Regions from separate parts of the Mus musculus genome. Here regions 2, 3, 4 and 5 are each reported to be linked to region 1. Evidence: microRNA targets listed by miRTarBase, many of them from high-throughput screens and not tested one by one. Region 1 holds a microRNA gene; each other region holds the end of a gene's coding sequence.
The links. Region 1 holds the annotated microRNA mmu-miR-122-5p (UGGAGUGUGACAAUGGUGUUUG, at 2,169-2,190, opposite strand). A microRNA usually pairs through its seed, bases 2 to 8, with sites in the 3' UTR of a target mRNA and lowers its output. Matches are read on the target gene's strand: a 7mer-m8 pairs with bases 2 to 8, a 7mer-A1 pairs with bases 2 to 7 and ends in A, and an 8mer does both.

Region 2: the mRNA of Gpx7 is a reported target of mmu-miR-122-5p. The part of its 3' UTR that is shown has no 7-base or 8-base seed match.
Region 3: the mRNA of Alas2 is a reported target of mmu-miR-122-5p. The part of its 3' UTR that is shown has no 7-base or 8-base seed match.
Region 4: the mRNA of Aldoa is a reported target of mmu-miR-122-5p. Seed matches in the 3' UTR shown: 8mer at 3,483-3,490.
Region 5: the mRNA of Hjv is a reported target of mmu-miR-122-5p. Seed matches in the 3' UTR shown: 7mer-A1 at 1,398-1,404.

What each region holds. Positions count from the first base shown.
Region 1 is chr18:65,246,333-65,251,055 of GRCm38, reverse strand. Mir122 (microRNA 122) reads right to left here and starts at 2,195; the gene lies at 2,130-2,195. It overlaps Mir122b (microRNA mir-122b), which reads left to right and starts at 2,135; the gene lies at 2,135-2,193.
Region 2 is chr4:108,397,174-108,401,896 of GRCm38, forward strand. Gpx7 (glutathione peroxidase 7) reads right to left here. Exons shown (of 3, transcript NM_024198.3): 3 at 3,044-3,824. The coding sequence ends at 3,661. Gm32297 (a long non-coding RNA gene) reads left to right here. Exons shown (of 6, transcript XR_003955247.1): 2 at 1,896-2,010. Among named protein-coding and RNA genes, the nearest start is that of Gpx7, 7.2 kb to the right of the region's middle.
Region 3 is chrX:150,569,265-150,573,987 of GRCm38, reverse strand. It overlaps Alas2 (aminolevulinic acid synthase 2, erythroid), which reads right to left. Exons shown (of 11, transcript NM_009653.3): 11 at 3,366-3,660. The coding sequence ends at 3,497. It overlaps Apex2 (apurinic/apyrimidinic endonuclease 2), which reads left to right. Exons shown (of 6, transcript NM_029943.2): 6 at 1,306-2,481. The coding sequence ends at 2,220. Among named protein-coding and RNA genes, the nearest start is that of Apex2, 17 kb to the left of the region's middle.
Region 4 is chr7:126,791,901-126,796,623 of GRCm38, forward strand. It overlaps Aldoa (aldolase A, fructose-bisphosphate), which reads right to left. Exons shown (of 9, transcript NM_007438.4): 5 at 4,695-4,723; 6 at 4,317-4,400; 7 at 4,050-4,224; 8 at 3,713-3,912; 9 at 3,334-3,614. The coding sequence ends at 3,519. It overlaps Ppp4c (protein phosphatase 4, catalytic subunit), which reads right to left and starts at 647. Exons shown (of 9, transcript NM_019674.4): 1 at 523-647; 2 at 161-323. The coding sequence starts at 258.
Region 5 is chr3:96,527,468-96,532,190 of GRCm38, forward strand. It overlaps Hjv (hemojuvelin BMP co-receptor), which reads left to right. Exons shown (of 4, transcript NM_027126.4): 3 at 1-115; 4 at 597-1,749. The coding sequence ends at 1,223. Among named protein-coding and RNA genes, the nearest start is that of Hjv, 4.6 kb to the left of the region's middle.

The sequences.
Region 1 (4,723 bases):
TAGACTAACCTCACGTGTTTGCTTCTTTGTAAACTTGACACAAGCTATAGTCATCTGAGAGGAGAGAACCTCAGCTGAGAAAATGCCTTTATCAGGTTGGCCTATAGGCAAGCCTGTGGGTCGTTTTCTTGGTTGATGATTGATGGGAAGGGCTCAGAGCACTGAGTAGGGTGTCATCCCTGGGTAGGTGATTCTGGAGTGTATCAGAAAGTAAGCTGAGCAAGCCAGGAGGGGCAAGCCAGCAGGCAGCACTCTTCCATGGACTTCATCACAGCTCTTGCCTTCAGATTCCTGCCCTGCTTGAGTTCCTACTGTGGTTTCCCTCGAGATAAACTGCAATCAGCACACATAAGCCAAATAGATCCTTTCCTTCCTATGTTGCTTTTGGTGATGGTGTTTATCACAGCAATAGGAGTCTAACTAAGACACTTAGTTTTAGTTGTTTTTGCATCTACATTTTCCTAACATCAACTCAATGGAATGATGACTAGCCTTGTGCTGGGTACTCTGGGAGACTTTTTTTTTTTTAATTTTAATGAATGAGGGAAAATAAGGAAATTTACCATCATTATGATTTAATTTTGTGTATGTGTGTGTATACATGTGTATGTATGTATGTATGTATGTATGTATGTATGTATATGCACATATATTTTCATCCATGGTTCCTGGCTCATAATTCCCATCTACCTTGTCTGATAATCATTTCTCCTCATTCTATGGGGTTCCTCCCCTAAGACTACAAAGAACGAAACATCTGAATTGATAACATTGCTTGCACGCCCCCTAATCATTAGACCTCGATTGTCCCTTTTGTCCCACTACATTTCTGTAAGAAGCATGCTTAGAGGAAGTATTGGAGACACTGGATCAGTCCCGCAAGCCTGTTTTTTTTTTTTTTTTTTCCAACAGAGGGAAATGAATGACGTCTGGAAAGCCAGACTGGAAATGGTCAAGCAACCTGCTGGTGACCCTTTGCTATTCCACTAGGAGTTAGCCTCCACACGAGTCCCCCAATAGCCTGGTCATTGTTTAGGTCCTGATGCTGAGCGTTATCTCTCAGTGATGAGAACTTTGCATCCCCCACCATTAGAGACTATTCTTACACTTAAACCAATCCTTTCTCATTGGGCTCTAGATTTGAGCTCTGCTTATCAGCCAATAGAATTCATTCTCACTGTAAAGGTCACAGGTGCTTTGCTACTCAGCTAGGGGGACTCTATGTAGCTATGCCTAAAGCGTTGTGGTGATAATTGTCATGTGGTGTCCTTTCCCCCAAAGTTTTGCTATGCTTAACTATATAAGAAAATTCAACCATTAAGATCAGACTCTGGAAGTTTTTGAACCAATATCTGCCAAGATGCTGCTGACTCAAGTTTGATTCTTCACTTTGTACATCACCTCCTTATCTGTCCATGAGGCTTGTGGGGTCGCCAGCACATTTTCATGTCTACTGAATCAAACCCATGCCAAGGGGTACCCATAAAATCTATGAAGGACAGCTTTGTAGAGCTTCTAGGTAGCCAAAAATATGCAGCAGTGCCCGGAGAACATATCTCCACTCTGCCTTTAAATTATCCTTTGGAATAAGCTGGCCAACACGTTTTCCTGAATTTTTAGACCCACTCAAGCAAGAGAATTGGACCTGAGAACACAGGTGTGGAAACCCCAGTTTATAGCTGGTGAGTCAGAAACACAAGGAAAGCAACTTAGGACATTCAATGGACATCTGAAGTTGGGTCTTAGGGACTGTGCCATCCACCTGCTGGATTCAGGGCTAACTCCACAGAGGCAGTGTCAACAGTGAATGGAAATAATGCCTCGCTAGCGTTCAGAGCAAAATCGAGAGTGGGCCTAGTGCTGGAAATAAATTGGGTGTCAGGGTAGTCAGTGTTGGGAGGGTCCCATAGGAGAGGTTGGATTTTACTGGTCTTTTCCTTTATAGCATTATTCATTTCACAATAGCACACGAGGGGAAGGCGTCAGTCAGATGTACAGTTATAAGCACAAGAGGACCAGATTTTATTCATACATTACACACAATGGAGAACTCTAGCACAAGACAGAACTTCTTGCTCGGAGAGAACAGACGTCAAGTCACGCGTGGAGTGGACGGATTGCCTAGCAGTAGCTATTTAGTGTGATAATGGCGTTTGATGGTTTGGACACAAACACCATTGTCACACTCCACAGCTCTGCTAAGGAAAGTCTGTCAGGCACAAGGGTATTAACCTTCCCTTCACATTCCTCCGTTGTCTGTCACAGACTCCTCAGTGGTTCCAAACGCTGAAACTGGAGCATAGGGAAGAGCCCCGGGATCTTGAATAACAAGGAGGGCTCACAAAGGCCTTTACCAGGATGGAAATTTGTTTACATCTGTTTCCTAAAAGGCTTGAATTCCAGGAAGAGGCAGACACTTCTTACAAACCACATCATACAAGGAAATAACTCCATTAGGTGATAGATCCCACCCACTCTCACCTCGTCATGGTTTCCAATCCATCACTAGCAAATGTGATCACTTCTTTGGTTCAAGAAAATTATGACTTCCTTTCCTTTCCTTTCCTTTCCTTTCCTTTCCTTTCCTTTCCTTTCCTTTCCTTTCCTTTCCTTTCCTTTCCTTTTCCTTCCCTTCCCTTCCTTTCCTTTTCTCTTCTCTTCTTTTCTTTTCTTTTTCTATCTTTTGAGACAATGGTCTCTTAGTATGTAGCCCTGGCTGGCCTTGAACTCACTATATCGACCCAACTGGACTCAAAATCACAGAGATCCACCTATGCCTGCCTCTTGGGTATTAGGATGAAAGGCACACACCCCCTACTCCCAGCTTGTGATTATTCTTTATGGGCTAGGACCTCCTCTCTGTGGAATCTTTGAATTTAGAGACACCCCACTTTGCTCAAACTTTAAGTCGTATTCTGCACAGCCATTCTTTAGAAGAACTGCAGGCAGCAGGTGAGGGGTCCAACTAAGAAAGAATGAAATAAAAACAGTTAGCACTTTTTTTTTCTAGCGGGAAGGTTCACTTTCTAGTGGGAAGGTTGCTGTGTGAGCAAATGCCTTCTGGATTGACTTGTCTCCAGTTAAATACGGTTTCACCGGTTCTGTGAACCTCTGCTCACGGTGGAGAATGAGAGGAACGAAAAGAGTTTTACCTAATCCTTTATTTTCCCCAAATGTTGAGAAGGGGGAAGATTGGGTGCCAGTTTCCTGACTCACCCCCATCCCCAGAATAGCTGAGTTGTTAACATTTGGCTAGAGATTTGCTTAAACTGTAACAAGCGAAACGAGTCCTCCCGCATTCTTCTATCCTGTATTCCCATAGAGACCACCTTAAGACACCTTTTAGACACCCTTTTAAGACAGATGCCGCAGGAACAGCATTCTGTGACCTCCGACCTCCCTCCCACTTTGGCTCCTCTTCGCCCCTTTCCTTTTCTATGGTGCTGACAGGATTGTTGTCCACTAAAAAAAATTAAAAAATAAAATATAATAGTTGGCTTCCTTTGTTCCTCTGTGGCCCCAGCAGACTGCAGGAAAAGAGTGTCACTCAGCCTAGTGTTAGACAAGCACTCCTCTGTGAAACCAGGAAGCTCCTGCTGACACCCAGCGCCACCCTAAAACCTTTGTGCTGGCCATGCAATGATGGGGGACCTCGAGAGTGTGTGTGTGTGTGTGTGTGTGTGTGTGTGTGTGTGTGTGTGTGTGTGTGTGTAGGTGATGACCTGTCTTTCCCCACCACTCCTTCCAAGAGACCAGCTATGCTGATTTATTTCTCTGCCTGGAGGACCTAGGACTGAAATCCCACCTCTTTTTCATCCCTCACCCCCTCCCGGGGATGCTCTGACCATCTCAGCAGGTCTCTAGAACCCCCTTCCCACGTGTAGTAAGGCCGACCAGGAGCGGTGAGGCATTCATTAGTGCTGTAGGGGCTGAGGACCTCTCAGTGCTTGATGTGCAAAAGACAGAGGAGGAAGAACAGGAGGGAACCAACCAACATATTACACGCAACCCTCCCCTAACCTCTCTGCCTTTCGGGCAGGTCATGAATCAAGCACACATCTCAAGGAAAAGGTAAACTAACTAACTAACTAACTAAATGAGTAAATAAGAGCTAATTCATAGTGACATTATTTAAAATAAAGGGTTGCACATGGCTCATGCTTTGGGAAATGGTCGACACTCACCTGGACCACGGTCCTCACCTTGCAATCATCGACTCGGTAAAAAGTTGGCTGTTGTTGACTTGGAAACAAAGTAAGATTTCATTTCCAACAGAGGAGTGGTTTTCAAAACAGTGCATATGATTCGGACCCTTTTCAGGGAGAACTGTACAGCGTTCATGTTACTGTAGCGCTCGACCAGGTGGAAAGGGAGCTGCTGTTGGACTTTTACCTCTGTTTCATTGAATTTATTAATTTTCACAATTTTTTTCACAGTGCTTTGGAAATGAGAAAAATAATGAGAATTTTAAAAATTTCAAAGTCCTCCCTCCTCCTTCTGGATAACCCCATTTAATAAATCCTCCTTGTAAACACTTTTCGTAAATATGAAAGCTGGAACCTATCTGACTCAAACAGATGTATTTGCCACCATGAAACAGTCTTGCTGACAGAGAGAGACTTCAGGTCAAAAAAAATTTTTTTTAAGCAAATAATTACTGAAGTACTATGCAGCATAGTTAACTTTATGCTATTATATCAAGAAATAAATTCGCATTTATTAG
Region 2 (4,723 bases), not on the chromosome of region 1:
ATGGAGGTCAGAAGTATCAGAGTCCCTGGAAATGGTGTGATAGGTGATTGTGAGCTGACTGACGAGGGTGTTGGGAACTGAATGAGGCTCCTCTACGAGCAGTATACACTCTTTCCTGCTAGGCCATCTCTTCAGCTCCATTATCTGTTTGTTTTTCTTTAAGACAGGGTCTCTAGCCCAGCTGGCCTCAAACTCACTGTGTAGCAGAAGTAAACTTAACTCCCAATCCTTCTGCCTTCTGTACCTCCAAAGTGTTGGATTTGTAGGCAGGTATCACCAGGTCAGGCCTGATACAACTTTTAAAAGCTTTGTTTCACTTACATAACTTAAATTTTAAGAAGTTTCAATTATCATTTTAAAATATTTTAAAAAATTATTTATTATTGGGGTCTGCCATGGATGTTAGTGTTGATTTTCTCCTTCTTCCTTTTCTGTGGGTTCCGAGGCTTGAACTCAGGCCCCCAGGCTTCCATTGTAAGTGCTTTTAGCCAATGAAATACCACCTCAGGCCCTCTCCTATATATTTGCCTCAAGCTTCTACTCCTAGGATCATGTTCCAAATATTCACTTTCATACACAAACAAAAATGACTAGGAAATACAGTATACAAAAGATCTGTCTATACTCGAGGGGACAATGTCTATTTCTAATTGGCATGTAATCCCTGACAGGAAAGGACACAGACATAAATCACTAAGTCACAAGGAAGAACTAAAAAGGACTAGTAGATAACATGGTTCAGTGGGTAAAGGCAATAGCTGCCAAACCTGATGACTTGAGTTCTATCCCAGGAGCCCACATGGGGCAAGGAGAGAGCTAATTCCTTCAGGCTGCTCTCTATTCTCCACACATGCGCTGTGTTTTGTGTGCCCTCTCCATCCAATTAAAAAAAAAAATCCTGCATCCTGAGGTGCACCAGAAATGGCATTTAGAGGCTTTGGGGACCAAGTGGTATCTTGAGCCTATGAGGAATTTGGGGGGTGCCAATGTGTAGAGGGGGCTTCCGGCCTAGGGTGACCAAGATGAGCCAAGATGCTGAGCTTAAGGCTCCAGGTGCTGTCCACAGAGGCTCTAGCTGAGGACCACTCCCCAAGATGTCCCAACTCTGGATTCAAATCCATACGCACAAACCTTCCTTAATGCAAACTGCCTCTGCTTTGAAAAGGCAAAACAGCACAAGCAACAGAATCCAACAGTAGGAATAACCTTTCACTCCCCAGGATTCACTTGTGTCCAACCGTGAGGCTACCAAGACAAGGTCTGCTCCATCCTTCCTCTGACTTGTCACCACAGCATACAGCCTTCAGCATATCACACCCCAACACAGGCCTCCTCAAAAGACCAAAAGACAAAAGGATGATCTTAACCATCACTCTTAACAGTCCAAAGGTGGCAACAACAAAAATTTAAAATACTTAGTTTATCAAAGCTACAGGTATTTTCTATGGTGCTCAGGAGGTTATCACTAGGGACAATGAGGTAGAGGGTTGTAAGTTCAAGGCCAGCTGGGGCTATATGAGGAGATCATATTTCTAAATGGAACTAAATGAGGCTAGGGAGGTAGCTCAGTTGATAAAGTACACAAAAACTTGAGTTTGGTCCCCAGTATATATATATATATATAAATAAAGTCAGGCGTGAATCCTGGAAGGCAGAGAAAAGAGAATCCCCAGGGTCTCTCACCAACCAGTCTGGCTTAATCAGTAGGCCCCAGACTTCATGAGAGATCTTTTTTTTTTTTTTTTTTGAGACAGGGTTTTTCTGTATAGCCCTGGCTGTCCTGGAACTCACTTTGTAGACCAGGCTGGCCTCGACCATGAGAGATTTTATGTTCTGTATGCATTGCAATGTGCTACAACTTGTGGATTAAATGGTTCAAATTTCTCCCCTGTCAGGGTTAAGACCCCACTGCATGGCTCTTCACAGTTGGTGACTTCTGGCCTGGATGCAGGTGAAGAAAGACTCATCTTTCCTTTGGGGGCTGGCTACTAGGAATTTGACCATGCTCTAGTGAGTATGTGGACAACACAAAACAAACTTGGTTTTCTTTTCCCTTGCTTTTCCTTGTATGTGTATGTGGGAGGGAGGGGGGCGTTAAAAGGAGGGTGGTTGGGCATGGGAAGGCTAGGAGGTGTGAGCGATTGAGGTTCATGATGTGAGCTTCTCAAATAATCAATAAAAATTAATAATAAAGTTCTTAGAGGTGAGTGTGGTAGCACACACCTTTTATTCAGCACTTGGGAGGAAGATAGGGTGAGTTTGAGGCTAGTTTGGTCTACATAACAAATTCTAGGATAGCCAGGGCTATCTAGAGAGACGCTGTCTTAAAAAAAATCCTGAAAACTCTAGGTGAAACTTGACAAGCTAGTAAGGCCTGGTCCTTCATTAGGAGACCCAGTTGGGATGGCAAGGGCCCCAGAGGCCTTCCCTGAGAACATAGCACCCAAAGGAGCCACCATTTCTGGAATCTTACTGGGCACCTGTAGCCTGCAAATGCATGTCGACATTGTTTATTTTTCTCCTGGCTCTGATAAATTATCTGGCCAATGCAGCTTAAGGGAGAAAAGCTTTCTCATGGCTCAGTTTCAGGGACTGTCAGTGCATCATAACCAAGAAGGCACAGTGGTGGGACTGGCTCCTGGCCATGGTGGATGTGGTGGCTGGGTCACACTGTCTAAGCAGTCTGTGTGTGACAGCGGAGGTCATACTATCAAGCCATCTGAAAGAAGAGCCTGAGGTCCAGTCAGCATCCTGAAATCCTGCTCTGATAGCCATATATCTGGCCTGTATATAAAAGGTTCCATAACCCACCCACCCTCAATCAAAACACCACCACTAGCTGAAAAGCAAGTGTTCAGGTATAGCTTTGTGGGCCTTTTTTGTTTGTTTGTTTGTTTGTTTGTTTTGTCGAGACAGGGTTTCTCTGTGTAGCCCTGGCTGTCCTGGAACTCACTCTGTAGACCAGGCTGGCCTTGAACTCAGAAATCTGCCTGCCCCTTCAATATCCGCACCAAATTCCCGACAGTACTTACTTCTATTTTATGATTTGTGTTTTTATTAGTGTGCTCTCCATGTGCCTTTCTGTTTGCCTCTCTGGGAATAGATAGAGTCTTGCAAGTGTTCGAACTCTGAGTCTTTCCCCCTACCACACTGCCTAAGAACATGTGTCTTCTGTAAGTAAGAAAACAATAACAAGAATGGCAAACACATTTGGCCCAGGTTTCCACGGGCTAGACATTTATGTCAAACTCAGGTTTTATTATCACAAATAATGCTTGTTTACACGCAGAAAACCGTGCGGAGTGCTTCCCCTTCGACTAGCACTGCCCCAGGCGTGTTCACGGGTATTAGATGCTAATCTTCACAGCCTCCCTGTGAGGTAAGACTTGGCATGGGTAGGTAGAGGATTGCCTCATATCCATCTACATGTTTTCTTCATAGCCTTGCCATGTTTCCTTTGGCTAGAGGCCCGCTGGCTGGTGATGTGCTGTTAAGAACTCTCACTGGCCAGCAAGCAGTTGCTGTCCGTTGCTCTTGGATTCAAATCATCCAAGTCTTAGGATTTGTCCTCTGAGGAGTGAAGGGAAGAGAAGCTTTAGCTCTCTGCCGGTGAAGCACCACTTGAGTTTGCGGAGGGATGGGAGTTCCAGAGGGACCCGGTCACAAGTCTTCTCGTTTCCGAAGGATGAGTTTCATCACCTGCTCTGTAATACGGGGCTTGATCTCCGCCACTGGCACAGTGGGGTCCCATGCTCCCACCACCTTTCCGTCTGGGTCCACTAGGTACTTCCAGAAGTTCCAGGTGGGCTCCTTCCCAGAAGTCTCTAGAGAAAAAGGGGAGCAGAAGGTCAATGTGCCTCCCTATAGCCTCTCCTGGAATCCCAGTAGTGGTATAATTCTGGCACCCAGGCTTCACCTAGACTACTTAAATTAGAACCACGGAGAGCAAGACCCAGCTCTCAGCACCTTTTAAAAGCTCTCCAGTACATCCCAATGTGGGATCCAGGTTGAGAGAGGCTACTTAGCAGCCTGGCAAGCACCTTATACAGCACTATCAATCCTCCTTTACATGGTCCCCAAATAGTCACACCCCGTTCTCCAAGTCTGTTTTGTTTCGAGACAGGATTTCATGGAACTCAGGCTACCATAGTCTTGCTAGACAGTGTGGATGTGCAGCCTTGGAACGCCTTCTCCTCCTTGCTCCTTCCCAAGTGTGGGCCTGCTCTGCAGTATCCTGCTTCCAATGAAATCTTAATGGCGATTAATGGCCATGTACTGATGCAATCCAAATCACTGTTAGGGAGTGGGGCCTTTAAAGAAATTCTTGACTCTTGCTTTTGTAGAGCTCAGGTTTGTGCCATTATAAGATCTTTCCAGGTGCTTCTAAAGCACGGGCCAGATTGATCAACAGTCGCGGGAACTGGGAGAAAACTAACAGAACACGTAGGAGGGGAAGATGATGGCTTAACAAGAATGCAGAGCTAACCGGACCCAAAGGTCACAAGGGCTGCAACTGAGGAATTAAGGAATTTTGTATTTGTTTTCTTTCTTTCTTTAAAAAAAATGTGTATAAGTGTTCTGCTTGCATGGGTGTCTGTACATTATATGTGTACAGCGCCCAAGAAGGCCAGAAAAGGGCATTGGCTCCCCTGGGACTAGAGTAGCAGGTGGTTGTGAGGTATCATGTGGGGACTAGGAACCTGGGTTTGATTCTGGACAAGCA
Region 3 (4,723 bases), not on the chromosome of region 1:
TGGATTATGGTGGTCTTATCCTACTGGAATCTTCAGTCTGGTGTCTCCTCTGGTCACTGAGATATTTTGTACCCTCCTTCCACAAGTCCATTACAGAGCTGTTCTTTGAGTTTGGAGCCCCCTATACTGGAGTTACTACCACATGGCCTTCATATCTTCTTTTCAGATCCTTTCCCCAAAGCAAGCATCCTTTGTTATCAAGACTGTATCTACTTTGCCCCTAGCATCAATTCTGTCACAAAACAGGTGTCCTGTGACTATGTTTTTACACTAAATCAATGGGTTTATAAGTGGGTAAGCTGGATAAATGTATGGAGTGGCTGGATCAGGGATCAGAGACAAAGGCACAGATGTGGATGCTTGAATCCCCTAAGCTCCCAAGTGAAGGGGGAATGTCAGTGAGGACATTGACACACATTGTAGTCCACAGTGGCCTCAAATTGATGCCAGTTTTCCTACCTTAGCCTCCTGAGTTGTGAACTTATAGGTATACCATCATGGTTGGGTTTGTTTGGCAGTCTTTTGAAAATTAGTTCTGGGAATTACTTTGATTAACTAAACAATAGACCTTCACATTTGGCAAGGTAACCACAGTATGGGATAGACAGAAGGACAAACAGAAATTTTTTTAAAGAGTTATTTTTTTTTATCCCATGTATCTGGGGCGGGGATACACATAAGTGCAGGTTCCCATAGAAGCCAGGAGGCATTGGATTCCCTGGAACTGGAGTTACAAGTGGTTCTGAGGTATCTGTATGAGTGGTGGAGTCTAACTCAGGTGCTCTGCAAGAGGAGTACATGTTTTAAGCACTGAGCTTTCTCTTTAATTCCAGGCTTTGATTTGTAGCATCATTTATTTAAAAGCTCATGTTGTGGGAGAAGGAGAGATGGTTCAGCTATGAAAAATGCTTAGCCCTCTTGCAGAGGACCTGGGTTTGATTCCCAGCCTTCTCATGGCAGTTCAAAACACTAGTTCCTAAGAAACTGATGACCTATTCTGGCCCCCACGGGCACTGCATGTATATGGTACACAGACAATGAAGGCAAAAGACCCATACATAAAAGCAAATTCAGGGAGGGAGGAAGGAAGGAAGGAAGGAAGGAAGGAAGGAAGGAAGGAAGGAAGGAAGAAAGAAAGAAAAGAAACCAAAGCCTAGTTTTTCCTGGTCCAGGCTATATGACCTTGAACAGGAATCTTCTTTAGGACAACCAAATATTCTTATTTGTAAAATGAAGCAGTTAGTCTAAATTTCGTCCTGTTTTAAGAATCTAGTTTTGGCTTTTCATTCCCTTTCCCTTTCCCAGGAATGCTTTGAAGAGGACCCAGGGCGTAAGTGGATGGATGGCTTGCTCAGTAACCCAGGGGATGAGGCTGGACCCCACATAGGGCTCTTCATGGATAGCTACCGCTACTTGCATCCAAAACAGCAGAGGGCTTTCACCTGCTGGTCAGTGGTCAGTGGTGCACGCCATCTCAACTATGGCTCTAGACTTGACTATGTACTGGGAGATAGGGCCTTGGTCATAGATACCTTCCAGGCCTCCTTCTTACTCCCTGAAGTGATGGGCTCTGACCACTGCCCTGTGGGAGCTGTCTTAAATGTATCCTGTGTGCCAGCAAAACAGTGCCCAGCTCTGTGTACCCGCTTCCTCCCCGAGTTTGCAGGTACCCAGCTCAAGATTCTTCGCTTCCTAGTTCCTCTTGAGCAAGAACCTGTGCGGGAACAGCAAGTCCTGCAGCCCAGCCATCAAATCCAGGCACAGAGACAGCCAAGAAAAGCCTTCATGCATTCAACCAGGCTTCGGAAAAGTCAAGGTGGCCCCAAAAGAAAACAGAAAAACCTGATGAGTTACTTCCAGCCTTCCTCCAGCCTTTCCCAAACTTCTGGTGTGGAGCTGCCTACCCTGCCTCTGGTGGGCCCTCTTACAACCCCAAAGACTGCAGAAGAGGTGGCAACAGCCACAATGCTAGAAGAGAAGAACAAGGTTCCAGAGTCCAAAGATGAGAAGGGAGAAAGGACTGCCTTCTGGAAGTCTATGCTGAGTGGGCCCTCACCCATGCCCCTCTGTGGAGGCCACAGGGAGCCATGTGTGATGCGTACTGTGAAAAAAACAGGACCCAACTTTGGTCGCCAGTTCTACATGTGTGCTAGACCCCGAGGTCCTCCCAGTGACCCCTCTTCCCGCTGTAACTTCTTCCTCTGGAGCAGGCCCAGCTGAACAGACTGAGGCATAGGGATGTCTTCGTGTTCACCCCGTGCACGGGGTCAGATGCCAGGTCCCTGCCTATGAAGGCTTCTTTTTGTTCTCTGCTTTCCCTCCACTCCTTCCCTTCTCCCCCTAGTGCCTCTCCCCTTTCACATCTCTGTTTCTTCCTCTTTGCACATGGAGGAGCAGGGAACTAATTTAATCCCCTTCAACCCTTGTTAGGGCATAAATAACATTTTGTTCATAAATAAAGGTCACGTCTTTGTTTCAGTAGACCATGTTGAGTGGATATTTTAGATGCACTCTAAAAAGTTGAGTGTGAGGCTCTCTCATTTCGAGGCTTGCTTGGCCTCATGTAACCCAGTGAGATACTATCAAGGCGACATGGTGGAGGGAGGAGTTGTGCTCCCCAGGAAAGGTGAGCTCTGGGGATCATTTGCTACTCTGAGGTTGGATCAGTGAAGAAGGTGGGTGTAGTGTGAGGGTGTGTATTCTTAAAAGAGTTTTCTAAGTAGTGTGTTCTACAGCTGTTACACATGAATCACCAGAGAGAAAGAATTGGTGTTTCGGCCTTCAGAGGTCCAGGGTTTGAGTTACCATAAGTCTCAGGGAAGATGGCCACCTTGGCCAGTAGAGTTGGGAGGCTTTGTTGGGAGCCTTGCTGTGAAGACCTTGTATACTGTAGCCAAGCTTCTTCCTTCACCTTGCAGAAGGATAGGAAATCCTATAAGATGCTATTGGAGAAAAAGAGGATAGTGGATCAAGAAAGAATCCATTCCTTATTCTGGAAGATTTCTTGGCATGGGGAAGCCATTATTCCCAAAGAACAGCCATTCTTTAGTTAAGACCTATTCCATCTTCTGACCTCAGAGGCTACCTGGGGCTCACCTTTCCAGGTCTCCCATTGAAAAGTAGAGCCCTGTATTTTTGTCTAAGTTATTGGGAAAGCCACTTCAGGTTAGCTAAGGAGTTTAGATCTTTGTACAGCTTCCAGTACAGATTAGGGGCATTTCTTTCCTCTTCCTAAATCTGACTTTTCCTATTAGTAAAATAGAGTGATTAGACCAACAAGTAATCTGTGGTTTCCCTGTGAGGCTAGACTTGTCTGAGTGAGTGAGTATAATACAAATTGTCTGCTCTTCTGTCTACCAAAGGGCTATGAATGTTTCAAGTTGCTCTTTATTTTCAGAATCAAGTCAGCCAGAAGCACACAGGAAAGCAGAGAGCAGGAGGAAGCCCAGCCCCAGGGGGAGTGCAGGTGGAGCTGGCATCCAAGGCAGCTGGCTCCTTAAGCATAGGTGGTAACATATTGGGGTCCCATGTTCCCAAAGTAGGATCGCTCCCACTCGCTCATAAGTTCAAAGTGCACAGGACGATGACAGAAGTTGCATGCAGCCACAGACACATCTTGGAGGGGCAGCCCCACCTCAGTCCAGGCCAGCAGCAGCTTCTCTGAAATGGAAGAAGAAAAGAGGGAAAGAATTGGTTAGACCTGGTCTTCTAAAACCTGTGTTGCTACAGATGCGCTAAGGTCTTGTCTCCCTCTATCCTTTGAGGTAACTTGGGTCCAGAAGTAGATTTACTTGTCTGCTTCAGTATAACCCACGAATGCTACCATTTGTCTGTGGGTCCTAGGATGTATAAAAGACAGGAAATCATGCCTGTGACAGGATTTAAAACCATGCTGTGCTAGCCTGTATCTCTCCCTACATAAAGAACATGTATAGGCCCAACAGTGAATCTCTCTGCTTAGAAAATCCTGACCTGATAAAGACAACACTAAAAGGAATCATACTGTCCTATCAGTGTTGTGAGCACATTCCTGGGGTGAGCAGGGACCCAGAGGAGGGAACAGAAGCTGCTGTGGGAAGCACTTCAGGTGTGTGACTGGTTTTTGTTTTTAACCCCTTTTCTGCTCATCCCTTGCTGGTATGATCTGGTCTTGTGTTCTTAACACCATCTGTGTGCAGATGACTCTGAATTTTTTTACTTCCAGCTTTCCCAGAACTCTGTCTCAGTTTCCAGATTTGTATGTCTAATAGCGTCTCTGCTTAGCTGCCTAATTCTAATTAGCTGTCTAACACTTTGGACAAAACTGAATCGATCATACCTGTCCTCCACCAAGCCCTTTCTGCTCATTTTTTCTGCCACTTACCTATGGGACTCCATCCACACCCATCTTTTGTTTCCCAAAGATAAAGGGAATATTTTTGTCTTTCGGTATTTGCTTTGGACTGTTCTCTGAGATGTCTGTTAGGTACTTAACTAGCTAACCTCATTGTCTCCTTCAGATCTTCTCTCCAGTGTCACCTTAATGTTTTCTACTCTTGCCATTCCATGTATATGGTCCTCCTCCAAGCCAGTACCTGCCTATAGTACTTCTTGTTCCCCCTTTCTGCTTTCTGCTTTCCCTTAACACTTTGAACTAGAATGCTAATTGATTTTTTAAAAGTTGTTACCCCTTCTACTAGAATTAAGCTTAATTCTAGTAAAAAAGGGTTCTGTGTTTTGTCTA
Region 4 (4,723 bases), not on the chromosome of region 1:
GAAACCCATACACAGCCGCCCCGTGGTTCCTGGGGAGAAGTGGCTCTCCGGACCTCTCTCTGGCGACGTTTCCGGGCTTGGGCAAGCCCTAAGTTCTCGGCGGAGTTTGCCCGGCCGAGACCCCCGGGGCGACCGGCTGGAGTCCCTTCCGCGGGCTCACCTGGCCTTGGCGCACAGGGCCTTGACTTCGCTCTCTTTGATCAGCTCGCAGCGCCGTAGCTGCTCGATCTGCCGGTCCAGGTCGCTGATCTCCGCCATGGCCCACCCCCCCGGCGCGGGTCAGAGTCGGGGCCGCCGCCCCCTCCGGACCGCACAGGGGTCTCCTGGGAAAAGGGAAGGCGAGCCCGCCAATCAGAGGGTCCGTGCGGGAGGGGGGACTCGATTCTGGGACCGCCCCCCCCTCCCCTCACGGCGGCCCAGGACCCTCCGCGTCCCGCTGCCCTGGCCGCACCCCGCCAACTCCCGTCGAACCCCGCGGGCCCGCGCTAAGGACGGTGGCCTAGAGGGGCCTCGGACAATTACCGCCGCGGAGACTCCGGCTGAGTCTCTTCGACTCCCCACTTCCCTCCGCTTTGGGCCTCCGCCACCGCCGCTTCTACTTCCGGCCTCGCCGCGGAAGCAAAGGGAAACCAGTGCTCTCGCGCGCCGGAAGTGACGCACACGAGCCACGCCTCGCTGAGGCACCGGGAAGGAGAAGAGAAGTAGCCGGAAGTGGGCGGGCGAAGTTGGTTGGAGGCAAATACAGCAGTGCGCCTGGTGTACTTGTGTATGCCTGGTGAGGCGAGCCGCGGTAGGCTTCTCATCTCACATTACATTATTCCCTGGGCTGCTTCTATTACAGATCTCACGGATAAAACTGCCTTGTTCATCATTGCCTCTCCGGTGTTTAGAATAAGGCCAAGTATTGCAGATATGCATAAATAATTGTTCAATGAAAGAGCCTATCCTGGTCCACATTTCTTGCCACGGTCCCATGGAGGAGCTCCGAACCTGGGCCAGACATAGTGGCCTATTTGTAATCCCAGAACTCAGGAGGCTAAGGCTGATCGTGGATACTAGGCTGTCAAAGCTACAGAGCAAACACTTGGCGGGGGGCGGTCACCTCACGAAGATAGCATATCTGATAAAAGAACTTGTCACCAAACCTACTGACCTGATTTGGATCCCCAGAACCCATATGGTGATGAGAGAAAACACGGAGGCTTAAATCTAATTGAAAAAAAATTTTTTAAGTGTCCACTCTCTGGACACCAAGCTTTTCCAAAATAGTTCACTTTTTTTCTTGACAGGGTTGCACTGTAGCTTAGAATAGCCCAGATTTCACAGCGAATCTCAGCCCAGATATTAATCAACCACACCCAACAATGCTTCTTATTGCCTGAACATATTCCTTGAAGGTGGCAATGGGTTTGGAGGCTAGCTTGATCACAGTTGAATGCTGAAAGTCTGGAGTTTCAATCAAAGCTCAAATATGAATCCATAGCTGTACTTGGTGGTGCACGCCTTTAATCCCAGCACTCAGGAGGCAGAGGCAGGCAGATTTGGGAGTTCGAGGCCAGCCTGGTCTACAAAGTGAGTTCCAGGACAGCCAGGGCTATACAGAGAAACCCTGCCTCAAAAAGCAAAAAACAAAAATTAATCCAGAAAAAAGTGGTTTTCAGGTCTGGCTTTCACCTTTCATTTGCTGAAACTCAAAGCAACACAAACACTAAGCCAGCCCCTGGAGCTCCCCAAATTCGCAGTGCATGCAGTCTGCCTCCTTTCTCTTTGCCTTTTGCTGTAGGCAGAGCAGGTTATTGATCTTCTGCACACCATACTCCCTCTTTTTCAGTATTCTATTGTCCCTCTCAATTTTGAACAATTTTTATGTGCCTTAAGATTTTCTTATAGAGGGTGGGGAGATGGCTCAGTGGTTAACACTGACTGCTCTTCCAGCCTGCCAACCACCTGGGTTCAATTCCCAGCACCCACATGGCTGCTCACAACTGTTCCAGAGGATCCAACACTCACACATACACACATTTCAGTTAAAATACCAATGTATATAAAATAAAAAGGATCGCCTCATAGAAGCTAGGAGAATAGCACATGCCTTTCATCCCAGTACTTGGAAAGCAGATCTTGAGAGTTCAAGGCCAGTGTGGGCTACAGAATTCTAGAGAGCAAGGCTACAAGTACGTGATGAGCAGTAAAATGGGAGGCTGAAGTTTGGGGAAGCATAGGGATTTGAGTTTTCCCTTGCAGCACTGGGGAAGGAACCAGAGCTTTGAGTACTCAGCCACTGGGCTCTATCCACAGCCTGCGCATAGCTTTGACTATTGGCCAATACATGGGAATATTAGGACAGTGGAGACTATGCTTTGATACTCCTAGTAAGACAATTCTACGCAGATCACTGAAAACGAAAGTGTCAAAGAAAAAGATGCTTGGGAAGGAAAACAGAAAGCACAGGAAGGGCAGAGAAGGCAGGAAACAGGAAATGCTTAAGATCTAAGTCGTCCCCAGTTATACTTAGAGTCTCTAGCACTATAAATTACTAGAGGTATGATGGGGCTGGAGAGAGAACTCAGCAGTTTAGCACCCACATGGTGGCTCACAACCATGAGTAACCATGCAAGGACTCTGCTACTGAGTTATAGTCCGAAGCCCTCACTCCTTAAGGTTTCTTATCTTGCCAGAAGCTAGCACTTGATACACTCCTTTTGGCCTCCAAAGGCAGATACACTGTATCCATTCATTTAGGCAGAATTTTTTTTTTTCAAGACAGGGTTTCTCTGTATAGCCCTGGCTGTCCTGGAACTCACTTTGTAGTGAGTTCCAGGTTGGCCTCCTGCCTGCCTCTGCCTCCTGAGTGCTGGGATTAAAGGTGTGCACTAGCACACCGACTACACTCAATATAATGTGGCAAGAATACAGATGGCCCATGGTTTGATGTGCTTCTTATTCTATCACCAGGGAACATCAGCAGCTCTGAGGCTCCATTCTCAACCTGGAACCCAAGAGTTCTGCAGTTGAGCTGTATACCTATGTCACTGCAGGAGAGGATTCTGCGTTCTCCAAAAGGCTCCATAGTCCCCAAAAACGCATAAATGTGTTAGCCCTGATACAATCCTTGCCAAGTATTCATTAAGCCCTTGGTTGGCTTAAACTGAATATTAATTAGGTAAAAGTTACCTTCAATTAGATGTAGGCAAAGAACATCCCATAATACTATGCCTTTCTCAAAGCTCTGGTCAAAAAAACCCTTCCTTTTACTGTCCAAGAAGAAGAAACCCAAAGTAAGGCTCTTTCCTCAGGCCCTCCCCTATACCCTACAAGACATGAACAACAGACTCCCCCTTAAATAGTTGTTTATTGGCAGTGGGCTGGAAGGGATGGCAGATTTAGCATTCACAGACAACACCGCACACGAGGGCAGCAGCAAGAGTGATGGGAAAGAGCCTGAAGACCCCTCTTCAATAGCAAGTGGGTAGGCAGGGGCCTGGAGTGTTGATGGAGCAGCCTTAGTTCAGCTCTGGTTAGTAGGCATGGTTAGAGATGAAGAGAGATTCACTGGCTGCGGCTCCAGACTGGCCACTTGGGGTATACTTTCCTTGACAAGCGAGGCTGTTGGCCTAAAAGGGAAGAGGAATCAGAGGAATTCTCTTCTTGAGTCCCTCCCCACCCCGCCCAGGCACCTGTTCACACTTCCACGCCTGCCTGCCTGCCTTACCAGGGCGCGCTTGATGTACTCCTCCTGGGCTGCCTTCAGGTTCTCCTTCTTCCCACCCCAGGCCTTTAGAGCAGAGGCCTGCAGGGCTCGACCATAGGAGAAAGTCAAGGCCCATGGCTTCAGCAGGGGGCACTTGTTGATAGCATTGAGGTTGATGGATGCCTCTTCCTCACTCTGCCCTCCAGACAGGAAAGTGACCCCTGGAGAACAAGCACAGAAGGAAAGGGACCTGCATTAGAGATGCGGAGCAGGAAAAGCCATGAGGCGTCACCCTGGACAAAGTCAAATGTGATGGTGCATCCACCTCACCAGGCCAAGATGAGGGAGTGGGCCTCACCAGTGACAGCAGGGGGCACTGTGCGACGAAGTGCTGTGACCGTTGCCATGGCAATCTCCTCATTGGAAAATTTCTGGGTGCAAGCATGGCCAGGGGTGACCATGTTGGGCTTCAGCAATGTGCCTTCCAGATAGACATGGTGGTCGCTCAGAGCCTTGTAGACAGCCGCCAGGACCTGGAACACAGCAGGGAAAGGTGGAAAACAGGGATTACCTCAGCGGGGCCCAGCCCACCACATTATCCTAACCAAGCAGATGGGCAACCTACCTTCTCAGTAACATACTGGCAGCGCTTCAAGTCATGGTCCCCATCAGGGAGAATTTCAGGCTCCACAATGGGTACAATGCCATTCTGTGGGAGGGACAGGGTAATGAGGCAAGGCCTCCTGACTAGGAGCCTCCTCACCATTAACTTGATGACAGAGACCCAGGCTTCAAAGGCCTCAGCAGATTACAGGGGACAAGCAATCCTATCAATCTGCCTGTACACCTGTTGCCACCTCTACATTGCAGAGGGCCTCCACTCAAGAGCCTGACGCACAGCGGGTATTGAGAGCAGCTGCTCTGAGGGAGGCAGATATCCTGGCAGATAGACAGAAAGCTAGCCCACACTGCATCAATGTGTTAGGAAGTAGTCCAATCCCACCTGCTGGCAGATGCTGGCATAACGGGCCA
Region 5 (4,723 bases), not on the chromosome of region 1:
ATTTCACACATGCCGTGTCCAAGGAGCTTGGCCCTTGCTAGATAACGACTTCCTCTTTGTCCAGGCCACCAGCTCCCCGGTTTCGTCGGGAGCCAACGCTACCACCATCCGGAAGGTCAGAGATTCGATTTTCATCCCAACACAATTTCTTGAGCCCTCTCACGGTCTGTCCGCCATACCACTCCTTCTTCTTCCCACTATTCAGCCACCCAGCTCCCTGTTCTTGTCTTTCCCAAACATTCCCTTCCATCCTGAATGGCTTCCTTCCATCAAACATTTGCTCTTGTAAATGTAATTCAGGAATTTCTTTCAAAGCAAGTAACTTGGGAGTTGCTGAGACTGAGACAAAAAGGAGAGAGAGAGAGGGAGGGAGAGGGAGAGAGGCAGATAGAGAGAGGCATAGGGAGAGAGATATTAGGAGGTTGAGTGGGGGTCAGGCACTATTAATGGAACACAGTAGGGGATAGGATCAAGGACTGAGGACCCGGAAGAAACTCGCATTTCTGCTGGGATCGGATCCCTGACTCTCTATGCAGCTTGATTGGCGTGAGGATGCTTTGGGCCCTAATGAAGTATTTTCTCTCTTGTCCTCATAGATCACTATCATATTTAAAAACATGCAGGAATGCATTGACCAGAAAGTCTACCAGGCTGAGGTGGACAATCTTCCTGCAGCCTTTGAAGATGGTTCTATCAATGGGGGCGACCGACCTGGGGGCTCGAGTTTGTCCATTCAAACTGCTAACCTTGGGAGTCACGTGGAGATTCGAGCTGCCTACATTGGAACAACTATCATCATTCGACAGACAGCTGGGCAGCTCTCCTTCTCCATCAGGGTAGCAGAGGATGTGGCGCGGGCCTTCTCCGCAGAGCAGGACCTACAGCTGTGTGTTGGGGGATGCCCTCCGAGCCAGCGACTCTCTCGCTCAGAGCGCAACCGCCGTGGGGCTATAGCCATAGATACTGCCAGAAGGCTGTGTAAGGAAGGGCTTCCGGTTGAAGATGCCTACTTCCAATCCTGCGTCTTTGATGTTTCAGTCTCCGGTGACCCCAACTTTACTGTGGCAGCTCAGACAGCTCTGGACGATGCCCGAATCTTCTTGACGGATTTAGAGAACTTACATCTCTTTCCCTCAGATGCGGGGCCTCCCCTCTCTCCTGCCATCTGCCTAGTCCCGCTTCTTTCGGCCCTCTTTGTTCTGTGGCTTTGCTTCAGTAAGTAGGCCAGCAACCCATGACTGGTTTGGAAACGATTTGAGGATAGAGGTTGGTGTGAGAAACCACAAAGATGTGCCAAAGGAAACAGCGGGGACAGGAGACAACACTTACTCAATCAGATGAGGTTGCAGTCCAGGGCTGAAATGACCCTAGAATAAAGATTCTGGGCCAGGGTTTTGCACTCCAGACCTTGGTGTGGGCTATTCACCATGGATTTCCCAGTTAGTGATTTCCCACTTGTAATGAAATTCCACTCTCCATACACCTGATACCACTCCTACAAGCCTAGAGATTGTGAGAGTGCTAATGACCAGTGAAACATTAAAGGACTGAGATATCGTAAAGGCAAAAACATGATTCTCTTTGAGAAAGTCAAAAGAGGAGAAGCTAATTAGGAAAAGCTTTTGGTTCAGAAACGAAGTGGGCATTGTCTGGCAGAGGAAGTCAGCTTTTGGAGACTGGCACCAACTCAGAAACGGGCATTTCCATCCCTTCCTAATCTGTTATTAAAGCGATTAGTTCTCCATCCTGTCCTCTGTTGCCTCTTTTAAATCCCTTTGCAGATGTGGCATGGAGTTGAGGCTGTGTGTTCACCCCACTGAAAGAGGCCTTGCAGTTACCAGCTATTGTCTCCTCCCTCTTGGAGTCTACAGGTTGTTGGAGAGAAAAAAAACTGGTTCATAGGAAGGAGTCATGAGTATTATTACATTTGTTTTTTATTTTCGGGGGAGCCTCATGTAGTCCAGGCTGGCCTTGCATTGCTGTCCAACTGTCTCTACTCCTCAAGCGCTGGGGTTGAAGTGGGTGGAGGAGTGTGTAATTCTTCACTGGATTCTATGGCTTTTGGATTTCTGACAGAGGATTCAGGTTCTGTTCCCAGCGCCCACAATACTAACAATGGCTTGCAATTATAGTTCCAGGGAACCTGATACCTTCAGGCCTCCTCTGGCATTTGTGTGCACATACTGCACATAAATTCATGCTGAACAAACACACATACATGTAAAAAATTTAAAATATATCAAGTTTTTTTGCTTCACCACTTTGTGCTCCCAGATCGCATGCTTGCATCCACCCAGGAACTATCTTTGGGTCCTCAAATGAAAGACACACACATTAGCTTATTTTTAAAATGCCAAAAAAAAAAAGAAAAAAAAAGTTAAATGAATTGAAAAAAAAATGCCTTGACTATGTCAAAGGCTGGACACTCCTAAACCTTCCCCTGCTATCTCAGGCCCAATCGGGGAAGTGGCCAGTGGCCACACGGCTGGTTGGCTTTATCTCCTGCTGCTCCTGCATCCCATCTTCTTTCCCTGAGTGAGGTGGTTCTCTCCTGTTCCTCTCTGTGTCCTCACCTGCGCAACAAGGCTCTCCCACCCCATACCCAATCATTGGCTGTTGGCATCTTTATTAATTGATCAAAAACCACCTGGGGACAAGGACCTTTAGCATTTGGACATGCAGATTCCTGATTGAATCAAAGCATTAGAACCAATCTCCAGCACCAAACACACACACACACACACACACACACACACCTTATCTTTATGTTGGTGGTGCTGGGGGGTTTCTGTGCATTGGGGATGAACCTGGGCCTGTGTATACTGTCTAAGCACTGTATATCTCATTTCTACTGTAAGGAAGGTGTGGTACAGAAAGATTGAGCATCTGTCCCACAGACACACAGCTAATAAGTAGCAGAGTCAGACAGTGAACAGACACCGTTTGCATCTGAAGATGTAACTCTTAGCCAGCCAGCGCATTCCTGAGGAAAGAGAGTGACAAGGGGCTGTGATTGTGGAGCAGGCAGAGGCAGGGGATTGCGGCGACAGATGGCACTACGAAAGCTCTGCTCTTTTCTCACGTGAAGCCAAAGACCTTCAAAGTGTTGGGAAAGGGAAACAAGCCCAAAGCCACCGACCTTGTGGAGGATAAAACTAAGGTCAGAAGGTGTGCTATTTGGGGTGTTCTACATAGGCACTGCTTCTAACCAAACAAGGAGAGTGATTCCACACTTGGTGCCTGGCGCCCCTCTCCTGCAGGCTCTCAGTGCCTGGCTCCTCTGCAGTTCTCAACTCCTCTTTGACACCTCTCTAGCAACTCGGACCATTCCCAGAGCACAGTCTTTATATTTTCTGAATCAACCTTTAGCTCATCTAGGAAATAATCTATTCCAATGGGGACGTTTCTGTGTGTGTGTGTCTCTCTGTCTCTGTCTCTATCTCTGTCTCTCTCTCTCTCTGTGTCTGTGTGTGCGTGTGTCTGTGTGTGCCTCTGTGTGCGTCTGTGTGTATCTGTGTGTGTACTGTATTTACTCCTGTACCTTAACTTATAGATACTGTGGGCACTTTAATGACATTTGTTTAGTTTTGTTTTTTACAGCGTCTTATGTAGGCTGAGCTGGGCCTGAACTTGCTACTGCTTCCATTTTCCAAGTTTTGGGATTGGCCTGCACCACCATGCAATTTATTCAGTACTGGGGACCGAACTCCAGGCTTCGTGCATGCTAGACAAGTACGGTGCCAACCGAACTGCATCTCCAGCCTTGCCAACATGTTAGAACAAAAATCGCTCATTCTTAAAGAGCAACTTTATTCCTCAGAGGTGGGACTCTCAAAGAAAAACTTCATAACCAATTGGCTAATGTCATTGTTTTATGGCATCAGTCATATAAAACTCTTCCTTGCTGAGACTCGGGATTTAGCCCTTTGCCCCATGGAATGTTTAAAACTGAGTAGCTCAAATGAACACAAGAAAAGACTACCAGCATTATTAGTAATAGGGTGATGCAAATCTAACTAAAACTTTGATGAGAAAAGCTGGGGAGATAGTCAGTGGGTAAAGTGTTTGTCTCGTGAGGATCTGAGCTTGGGTCCCCCGCACCCACTTAAAGGTTGCACACAGTGATTCATGTCTGTAACTTCCTTCCGTCTGGCGGACTGAGACAGGCAGATCTCTGGGGCTTACTGGTCAACCAGTGTAGCAGAAATGGTGACTTTCAGGCTCAGTCTTAAAAAATAAGGTGGAGGGCCAGTGAGATGTTCAATGGGCCCACGTATGAGTGTGGTGGGAAAGCCTGGGCTTCTAAAATTCCTTCCCAGGAGAGACCAAGTGCAGGTTACCCCTTTCCCCTAAGGTTTCACTGACAGACAAACCAAGGCACGGTTCTGCAAAAGTTCACTCTGGGGAGCCAGTGAGTCTATTGGGCTTTCTTACAGAGCACAGATAACTTAGGAAGTTAACATGCAGGAGCACGGGCACCCCTCAAACCTTACCCAGCAGGGATCAGAGGAGCCTCCCTCCCCAAGCTTTTCCCAGCCTCTCTACACTCTAGCCCAATGTCTCTCACCTTCCGAATGCTGCAACCTTTAATACAGTTCCTCGTGGTATGGTGACCCCCAACCATAAAGTTATTTTATTGCTACTTTCATAATTGTAATTTTGCTGCTATTATGAATTATAGTATAAATAAATATCTGATGTTTGGGTTATCTGATACGTGACC